Regions from separate parts of the Mus musculus genome. Here region 1 is reported to be linked to region 2. Evidence: microRNA targets listed by miRTarBase, many of them from high-throughput screens and not tested one by one. Region 2 holds a microRNA gene; the other region holds the end of a gene's coding sequence.

Region 1 (5,387 bases), not on the chromosome of region 2:
CTTACCTTCATACATTAGACTAGTGCTCCACAAATTATAAGGTTCACCTAGCGATCTTATTAATTTGAATTTAGTTGTCGTAACTAAAGTTTTACACTTCTAGCAAGTTCACTTGCTGTGCTTTTTGAGTAATAAGTGTTAGGTAAAAAGCATCAAGTATTAGTCCAGAAAACTGTGCTGCTCTTGATTAAATAACTGGGTACGTGGATAAAGAAAATCCCTATTAAGGACATGCCACTGAGAACAAGGAAAGGAAACCTGTAAATACAAACAACCTGAGATAAAATAACCTGTTGTGAGACATTGAGTGAGTAGGACTCATAAGAGATGGGAGTCTTAGAAGTTTCTAGTAGAAAATCATTGTAGGTTTAAAAGAATGGAACACATTTTGTTGTCGTTGTTTATATTTGAAGATCATTTTGGAGAATGTAAAGACTTTTTATCACAGTTCTTGGGGGAAGTAAGGTACCATATAAGGTGTTTGTGTTTATAGTAGAATTGAACTAAATAAGATCTATTTCTTTACTTATAAATAGTCCCTAAAAGAAACTTCAGTGCAAACGAAATAGAAGTCACATTATAAACTAAAAAATGTCCTTAAAAGAACAGGTTTCCCTGGCACATGACTACCCTAAAATACCTGTAGGGGACTTAACTGTAAAGTTCCTTTCACAGACTAGTTCATAGCCATCGTGTGCAGATAGATTCACTCAACTCTCACTTTTAAGTGGTCTATGGTATGAACAATGTATCTGGGAATTATTTTCCCAGAAAGAGCTCTTAAATTCTACTCATGTCTCAAACAGGAAAACTTTCAATATCAGCTTTGTACCATTCATAAAATTTATATATATATACAAATTCAAGAGTAATTTTCAGGACCCACTTAGACATTTTAACATCTTTAATGATTAACATTATTTGACAAAGCTTGTTTCATTTATATTATTCCCCTAACAATGAAGGTAAAGTTAGTTTGTAGAAGGAAGCAACCTTTTTCGAAAGTGAAATTTTATAAAGGGGAAGATAAAGTGATGAAACTGAGAAAGATTTCACAGAATGGGTCAGAGATAAGATGCCCAGCTTGCAAGAGGACAGGAAAGAGAGGCTAATTGAAGGAGTGCAGTGTGAGTCTGGAGTGGGGGAAGTTCAGTGAGTGAAGTTCACTTGAGTCTAGGCAATTCAATGGAGTTCAGTTGAGATCACTTTGTAAAGTCCATGCAGTGATGCTCAGCAGAGTTAGTTTGAGGACAAAGAAATTCAGTCAGCATCTGAGAGAAGCCAGTTTGAATTAGTCAGCTTGGAGAGTGTTGAGCTAGAACAGCTCAGTTTAATCAGCCAGCCAGAGTTCAGAAAGAACTAGGAAGGGTGAGCTTATTCAGCAGTAAGCTATGAGGTGAAAATTATATCTGGTGAATAAATGTTACATTTGCAAGTAAGTATTCTAAAGGGAATTTTGTTTCATTAAAAATTGGAAAAGTTGGCATTACTGATAGTAATTTTGCAAGTCTTATTCACCTCCCATCTGATTTACAAACTCTTATCCTAGGAACAGATATTTTCCACAATATGATTGTCTCACTGGACTCCTTTAGGAAACTACATTAAAATACCTATATATTCTTTCATTTAAATATACTGGTTTGCTTTTTAGGTTCTTGAGCCATATAGAGTATTCACTGATTGTATTAGCAAACACGGTATAGAAATGAGGCATTATATTGTAAAGTTCCCCCCCACCCAAAGGATATCTGTAGCATGAATTTCAAAACATTTAATATGTTGGGATGGGAAAACAAGGTTTATACACCAGCTAATATGAAGCCCCCAACACACATACAGTAGAGGACCTCCATGTCTATGTTCATTCAGAGATGATGCACCTAACTCTCAAGAGACAGGAGGCCCCAGGGAGTTTAAAGCACCTTTTGTTTAAAACAAATTTTTGAGACATGGTTCCTTTGTGTAGCCCTTGCTATATTGGAACTCATTTTCTAGACTAGGCTGTCTTCAAACTCAGAGATCTTTTTGTTTCTACCTCCCAAGTACTGGGATTAAAGGTATATGCCACCATGCCTGCTTGTTTATAAGCACATTATTAATAAGATGAATTCAAGAAAATTACTGAGAATGGCAATTGATACTGTCTATCGTGTAATTGCGTCACATAACAATCCCACTATTCCTTTATAGAATAAAAAGTTATGTCTTGTTCTGGAGTAAATATTAGGCACTTTTATCAATGAAAGATGTGCTTATTATACTCTTTACTGAAATACTATTTTTACTATTTATCCTAGAGTAAGCATGAAATAATGTATTTTTTCAGTTGAACAAAAATTACTACAAAATCAAGTAAATTTTGTAACAGTGTTTCCTGGTGAAGATGGGTCATTTGAGGAAATCATTTGAAAACATTTACTTTCAAAAGAATTTCTATTTTCTAAAGAAATGTAATCTTTATAAATTACAATAATGAGAAAGAAAGAAATGCAAAGACAGACTTTTGTTAAACTGATGTAAATTTGATAGTTAAATATTTTTAAAAGTTGCACTCTTTTCATATTGTTCAAATTTGAAAAAAGTAATATGGCTAAAGTACCAGTACCAAGATGGGAAGAAAATATCTTAGAAAACCATGTGTGGGCTTAGAAAACTAAATTTTGCACCAGCTGGATGTCAAACTTTTGTTAAAGTTCTACCTCGTGTAGGCTATATCAAGAAGAATTTTCTTTTGTGCTTGTTTTACAAAATTGCCTCATAGCTCCTATATAAACATTCAAAGGATAAAATATTTCCTGGTAAAATAGGAAGATAAGCTAAAGTTCTTTCTATTTGAAGTTTCACAAAGACAATACAGATGCTTAACATATTTTATTTAGATACATAAGAATATTTTGTATGACACTCTCCAGTTTCCATTTTATTTGACAAATCTGAAGTGAAAACATATAGAGATAGAAATGAGATGAATGGACATCTTCACCTGATGACACTAGAGTTTTCATTGAGTAACTACACAGAATTGATGAACATAGGAAGCACCCTAATAGCAGGTTAGGTTCTACACTGCCTGCAATTAGAGTTCAAACACAAAGGTTTTTCCCCCTCTCATTTGCGTGTTGCTATATCAAATATATCAATGTATAAAAAACAGACTCAGGTCTCCTGAATGACTGGGGGAACCCATCTCCAGAACTAAATGTATAATTTAATATCACTTTTATTCCTCTTATTTCTATTGATCTTAAAACGTTGGTAAAAAAAAAATGGGAAACATTTATATGACTCTAAATCACTATCTTAGATCAAACAGACTGTCTTCTTAATTGCTCTTTAATTCTGGATATTATTAGTTTTCTGTAATTTTGAAAAAGACATTCTCATTTTCAAACTGTAATTATGGCATTTTTCTGTCAAGGTAATTAAAGCATTCCATTGTAACTTTTGTAATAGACAAAAACAATACACTTTTGCCATAATTGCATATATGGGTATCTATCAGAGGAGAGAACTTGTCTGTCCAGAAAATAGAGGGGAATTGTAAAAATATGAAACATTAACATTTTATATCATAAAATATTGATAAAATAGAAATTTTATTCATGTTAGAGAACTTAATGTTTATCTTAAGTGTTATAAGAATATAAATAAGACTCAATTTCATATCAAGACCTTTTAAATATTTCTAACTCATAGTTCTAGTGCATATAGTGCCACAGCCATGCTTATACTAACTGCTTCTTAGAATAATTAGAATATGCTTATAAAGCATTGAAGAATTTTATAAAGGTTTCTGTAGATATTTTAGTACAAAACTATGAACTAAACATGTAAACTGAATATATTTGTTACCTTAATCCTAATTTGATGAGCAATGTTTTGTACCTTTTGATTGGGTTATATTATGAAACTTCCTTATTTATAATATAATAAACAAATACTTGTATCACTTTGTAACGCCATTACAATTCAAGTAACAAATTTCTAACTACATCAAAGACTCTACTATAAAATATTCTCCAAGATACAGCTATCAAGTATCTTTTACTGCTATTTTTGTTAAAGATTTTATGACTATGCAATATAGCAATGTTATGTCTGTATATCACTATGAAAAATTCTACATTCTTATGCCCACTACTACAGTACAGTATTGCGTTTTTTACAAAGTGAATTGGACCACTTGCAGAAAATATGTTTTGAAAGAACAGATTTTCCCAGGCACTGACATGTACTTAGAACTATGTATAATTCAATTAATGCATTTATTTAAAAGATATTAGCTCATTTCCATGATTAACAAAATTAACCTCCACCTTTGACTTAGCTGTTTCCAAGATATGTTAGCACTGCTGTACTCCTATTAGTCACAAGCTTAATGTGAGAAAAGTAAGGCTGTATATTTTATGTTCTAGTTAGCCTATTTTTTAAAATTTAATTGCCTCTGTTTTGCTGAAAAACAGGACTGAATCCTATAGCTAAGTTGCACATTAACATAATAGAATAACTTGTAAAGGCTCTATTGTATGAATAAGTTCAACATATAGGAAGCACCCTATATAAAAATAACAGGTTAGGTTCTACACTGTCTGCAACCAGGGTTTAAACACAAAGGTCATTTTTTTTCTCTCATTTGCACGGTGTTAAATTTCAAATACATCAATGTGTGTGTGTTTTTTTTAAAGACTCAGTTCTCCTGAATGAGGGGGAACTCATCTCTAGAATTAAATCGTCCCACTAGATCCATGGCGTAGTAACATGATTCACAATTTGATTGCACATTAGCAATAGAAAAATAACAATTAAAATACTGATGCAGACAAAGAAAATTTCCTTTGGGTTGTAGTATTGTAGAATGGGTCCATTCATGGCTAGAAAAGAAAAAATACATCTTAAAATTGGTTCACAGTTATTTTTTTACATGTACATAGTTACTAAAAATATTCAGTTGGGTATGTATACTGCTAACAGAAATGTATCTCACTTTTATACACTATTTTATAGAATATTCAATAAAATGATAATCTCCAACTTAAGGAATGTGTTTTAAATGACTGTAAAGCAAGGGGGATGGAGATTGGGTAATTTTGTTCTTATTGTCATATTTAAAGGTTAAATATGTGGTGAAATATGTGAGTCAATAAATACAGTTCTATCATTTATGAACTTATTGAATAATTTGGAACTTCTTCCTCTATACAGCTTTCCAACTTTATGTATTTCATTGCAGACAGAAGAAATAGCTATACTAGACCCTTCAATTCCACATAAAATATTGTCACTGCATGTAGTCAAGCAATTGGTTTTGTTTTGTTTTTAGATTTATTTCATGTATGTGAGTATACTGTCACTGTCTTCAGACACACCAGAAGAGGGCATCAGAT
Region 2 (5,387 bases):
ACACGCATTTTTTTTTCATCATTTTACTTTTTATCATTGAAGAAAAAAATTTAGTCTAAATTTCAAGACAGTTTATGCAATGATAGCTTTGGATGGAAGCAATAAAACTCAGGTAAGATATTTAAGATGCTACTAATAGAGAAAATCCCTAAGCTGGGTGGAAGCATGACACATGGAGTGAAATTGAGCAAAATGCAAAATAAATGATTTTTTAATGATGTCCTCCTAAAACTTGTAACTCTTCATAGTGTTTATGGGATGGAGGCTATTTCTACTACTTTTATTTATATTTGAACGTTTAAATGACCTTTTGTAGGATACATTATACTTTTCTCAAATACAAGAAGACTGAATACAAGATAGTTATTTACAAATGTCTTTCATAAGTTAATTTTATAATAATCTGGCATTTTCTACTTCATTTTCCTTTCACTTAAGCCTTCATAAAACAATGACTCTGAAGGAAAAAAACATTGTCTTTTACTTTCAAAGATAATGTTAAAATATACACAAGTTTATTCTTGGGAAGTTCTTGGGTTTTAATGGTTTCCACTTGGAATTTGTGTTGAATGTTCCTGATGATTGGCATATATTCATGTAATTAGTGGCATCTACAAGACCATTTGCTGGGCTTACAGGTATCAGTGTATAGCTAAGAAATGTCCCTTTGTAGACTGCAAGACTGTTGGATCAATACAAATGGGTGTCATACAGCATACAGGAAGACCACAGTCTGGGACGGCTACTTCCTACTGAATTCCACAAAGTTTGCAATCAGAGAATACTGTATATCCTCTCTGGGCTCAATTAATTAAAGGAAAGGAGAGGAAAGACTAAAGGAAAGAAATATTAGTGAAGATGGCGCAGAAATGCTGTCCCCTCAGCGCCTCCTATTCCCAATATACACAAACACGCACCCCGTTATCAGATATAAAATAGCAAAAACAAGGGGAATGTAACTGACAGAAGATATGGCTTCTCGGGCTTCTACAGACCTCATCCTTAATGTCCAAATCTACCCTTGCTTCAAGGATCTACCTGAACTCTCACCTCCTCCATGATGGTGTCTGTCAGCTCTTGTTGGCACACCTCCCACCCCCACCCATACCTGTTTTTTTCTATTAGGAAAATCTATCAGTTTAGCAACTTTATACTGTCTGGAGTAATAAATAATGTGTTCACATTTTGTTACCACCTAGACTGTCTGATGGGTAGTAAGACAAACGCCTGTTAGGTGCTGGATTTGTAACATTTAAATAAAACAGGAGCCCAAAGTGAGACTAGATATCCTCAAGGCTCACGGGGAGATCATCAAAACTGTGTCTTTGATCTTATAAGGGCCACAACTTTGACCTACCAACAAGGGTGTTGGTTCAATGTTTGACCAGAAGAGTGGCCCACACTTCACTGTATGGCCCTGTAAGAGGTAGTCCTAAGAAAGAACTTGGGTACAGGCAAGGGCAATCCTGCAGGTATGAGTGCCCAGGCCTGCTCAGGCAGGAAGGCTCCAGATGAGACGCCTGGGAAGCGGTTTCTGAGAATGGGCATATGAACAGTGAGGAGGCCTGGGGCTTCTTGGGCAATATATTGGGAAGGAGAGATGGATGTAGGTCTCTGCGCTTCTTTCTTCGATGTAGCAGTAACTACACTGTGAAGATAAACTTCTCAAGAATCTGTCTCTCCATCTCCCCGGCCCCTTCCCAGGAGGCTCTGCAGGAGCCCTCCCATTGCCCCTTCTGGTAGCTTCTGCCACCCCTCCCCCACTCGCCCCGCCCCCTCGGCCTCGGGGTTCCAAGGGCGGTTGGTCGCTGAGCCACGGTCACTCGGCCAGTAGGAGCTGCGGGGCGCGCGGGCTGGACAGAACCGGCTCTAGACTTGGGTCTGGAAGCCGTGAAGAAGTTGTTGGAGGCGGGTCAGACCCGGCTTGCGGGAAGAAGGACTCGGGCCGGATGCCCTGGGGTCCGGGCTGAGTCGGGGGTCTCGGGGGGGACGGCGGGGACAGGGGGCCTCAGCGCCTGGGGGTTCACCTGGGGTCGCGCGCGGCCCTGCTGGGTGTGGAGGGGCCTCGGGAGCCTGAGGCACCTCTCGCTCCGCCGCCCTCGCCTGTCGACCGTGGCGAAAGGGGGCGAGGGGCCCGACCCTCGGGAGCTGCAGTGGCGGGCGCCCGGTGCTCGGTTTGTAGGCAGTGTAATTAGCTGATTGTAGTGCGGTGCTGACAATCACTAACTCCACTGCCATCAAAACAAGGCACAGCATCACCCGCCGCCCGCGGGAGGAGAAGCCAGCGCTGCAGCCCCACTGACTCCGCAGAAAGCCGAGGCCGGAGCCAGGATGCGTCAGCAAAGGGCCGGGAGCACGAGGTCTAAGTGCAAGTAACCCTCGGAGACCGGCGGCCTCCTTTAGGGACCGTTCGGCTACCTGTGTGTAAGAGCCAGAGCAAAAACGGTTCAGTGATGTGTAAAGAGAATCGGTATACACCGGCCTTAACATAAAAAAAAAAAAAAAAAAAAAGGCCAGGAAGAGCCCCCCCCCCCCCCCCCCCAGAACAGTTCCTGCTGCTGCTGTGATTCACTGCCTGATTTCCACTTCTGAGAAAGCTATCACCAAGGCAGCGACTAGAGTCAACCACAGCTTGGCTGACGATTTGCTCTGGTCACACCAAAGTCTGAGAGCACCAGCTAAAGACTGCATGCTTTTTTCTGAGTCTAGTTACTAGGCAGTGTAGTTAGCTGATTGCTAATAGTACCAATCACTAACCACACAGCCAGGTAAAAAGACTGAAATTCCTCCGACTGAGCCTCCTGTGAATCGTCATTTTGGTGAGGACAGAGCCATAGGGAAATATTCTTACCATACTATTAGTGGTTTGGGGGGGGGGGGGGAACCGCTAGCCCTTAGCTGCTAAGTATACAATGTATCAATTTGTGTGGGGTACATTTTTTGTGATTTTTAGATATATTGGAAAAATAGAAATTATCCCTTAGCTGATTTGGTCATTATATTGACTTGTGATTATAAATCTTTGGACTTTGCCTGACATATTAATAACACTCTAAAAAATAAAGCGCCACGAAAATCTCAGCAATCGTGTTCATTTCCTTTCCAAAAACTGGCTTTAGGATCTCCATTTCAGCTCCTGTCAACCCCGTAAAGTCATTAAATGGTTAGTTGCTATACAGACAAAATCTCCAGGGAAACGTCTCACACATGATTGTGACCTGGAAGGGAACGTTAAATGTTTTCATAATTTTCCATGGGGCAAGGGAACTCAGCCCACTTAACCAGGTATATTTTTTAAGGTATTAACAGTTGCGTTCTAGGCAACTTTTCGTGGGAATAATTAGTGAACACGATTTAAAACCAGCTGGTTTCCTAATATCTGTAATAAAAGATTTGAGAGGTTTTAAATCACACAAGCTGTATCCACCGGTACTTCTCGGCCCAGTTCTAGATTAGCGCTTTATGCAGATGTATCAATGCAAACCTGAGAATTTCCCCAGAGGTAAGAGTGCGAAGCCTTGGCAATCTTGTCCAAAAGAGGAAGGCGCTCTTTAAAGCTCACATTATTGGGCTATCTGGGGGAGGAGGAGACGCTGGCTGAGGATCTAAGAGACAGTCCAGGACTGTACACATCACAAAGTTGAGGCTTTTACTCTTAAGGCTTGACTGGCCCCGAAAATTGTGACCTCGACAGAAGCCAGCTGCTGATGGGCCACAAGCCCTCGAGGAACCCCAGATCTACGGAAGAAGAAACACAGGCATTCCGGTGGTGGCAGTTACCAACAGGACGGTTCTCCGGTAGGGGCGGGACGCCAGAGCTAAGGAAAGCGTCCTGAGTCACCATGGAAACGGGGCCCAGAGGCTGTCCTAGCGGCAGGAAGGAATCCCAGGAAATCTGCTCCCCTGGATTACTGGTGTTCACCGGCTGCTCTGAGCAGGATGCCAATTTGGCTAAGCAGTTTTGGCTCGGGGCGTCCATGTACCCCACTACCGAATCTCAGCTCGTGCTGACCCGAGGCAGCAGTCAGAGGCTACCGGTGGCGCGGAACTCTAAAGTCGTTCTGAGAGGTGAGTAGCAAGGCTACCTCCTGGAAGGGGAAACTGCCTGGTCTAATTGTCAGTCAATTGAGAAGTACAAACAAGCAGAAACAGGCAGTAATAGGTATATGCAAATACACAAACAATTCTAAAACTGCTGCAATTCTCCACTGTAAAGGATCTCATTGTTACATATAAATTCATTCTAGAGCTGGAGAAATGGCTCAGCAGTTAAGAGCACTGACTGCTTTCCAGAGGTCCTGAGTTCAATTCCCAGCAACCACATGGTGGCTCACAACCGTCTGTAATGGGACCTGATGCCCTCTTCTGGTGTGTCTGAAGACAGCTACAGTGTACTCACATAAATAAAATGAAAATCTTAAAAAAAAAAAAAAATTCTAAGAGTCCCTTAAATGATGGCTTTTATTTGGCAAAGAGGATGGGTTAATCTAAGGAAATGGTGCTTAGATTAGGAAAGCATTTACATAAAATTGAATTCAAATTTAAAAGCCCAAGAAAAAGTTGTTGGCAGAGTCTAATTTAGGAACCCTGTTTCCTGACTGACAAGCCTTCGGGCCAAGGATGTATAAAGTGTTCTTATTCAATATTAATAGGTATATGAAATTAAAATACTGTTCATGTCAGCTTTTCCAATAACTTTCTCTTCATTTGTATTTCTTAGAGAAAAGTTCTGTCCAGCCCTTTCCCTTTGATCAGGACAGTAAGTATCAAGTTTTAATGCCTTTTTATATGTAGACTCCCCAGATTATCTTAGAATTCCTAGAAGTATACATTTACACTGTGATATAACTAAGCTGCATATCCCACACCTTGCTTCAGGGCTCACATACTCACCCAGAAGATAACTTTCTGACTCTACAGGCACTTTCTCCCCAGCATCCCTGACCCCACAGGCACTTTCTCTCCAGCATCCCTGGTCCCACAGGCACTTTCTCCCCAGCATCCCTGACCCCACAGGCACTTTCTCTCCAGCATCCCTGGTCCCACAGGCACTTTCTCCCCAGCATCCCTGGTCCCACAGGCACTTTCTCTCCAGCATCCCTGACCCCTCAGGGACTTTCTCCCCAGCATCCCTGGTCCCACAGACACTTTCTCCCCAGCATCCCTGACCCCACAGGCACTTTCTCTCCAGCATCCCTGACCCCACAGGCACTTTCTCCCCAGCATCCCTGATCCCACAGGCACTTTTTCTCCAGCATCCCTGGTCCCACAGGCACTTTCTCTCCAGCATCCCTGATCCCACAGGCACTTTCTCTCCAGCATCCCTGGTCCCACAGGCACTTTCTCCCCAGCATCCCTGACCCCACAGGCACTTTCTCTCCAGCATC

The links. Region 2 holds the annotated microRNA mmu-miR-34b-3p (AAUCACUAACUCCACUGCCAUC, at 2,218-2,239, shown strand). A microRNA usually pairs through its seed, bases 2 to 8, with sites in the 3' UTR of a target mRNA and lowers its output. Matches are read on the target gene's strand: a 7mer-m8 pairs with bases 2 to 8, a 7mer-A1 pairs with bases 2 to 7 and ends in A, and an 8mer does both.
Region 1: miRTarBase lists Pof1b as a target of mmu-miR-34b-3p. Seed matches in the 3' UTR shown: 8mer at 4,107-4,114, 7mer-A1 at 3,948-3,954, 7mer-m8 at 3,295-3,301 and 7mer-A1 at 3,216-3,222.

What each region holds. Positions count from the first base shown.
Region 1 is chrX:112,635,568-112,640,954 of GRCm38, forward strand. Pof1b (premature ovarian failure 1B) reads right to left here. Exons shown (of 17, transcript NM_181579.1): 17 at 2,860-4,874. The coding sequence ends at 4,869. Among named protein-coding and RNA genes, the nearest start is that of Zfp711, 38 kb to the left of the region's middle.
Region 2 is chr9:51,100,426-51,105,812 of GRCm38, reverse strand. It overlaps Mir34b (microRNA 34b), which reads left to right and starts at 2,168; the gene lies at 2,168-2,251. It overlaps Hoatz (HOATZ cilia and flagella associated protein), which reads left to right and starts at 3,735. Exons shown (of 6, transcript NM_177702.4): 1 at 3,735-4,068; 2 at 4,721-4,759. The coding sequence starts at 3,843. Mir34c (microRNA 34c) reads left to right here and starts at 2,703; the gene lies at 2,703-2,779. It also overlaps a transcript of Btg4 not described here.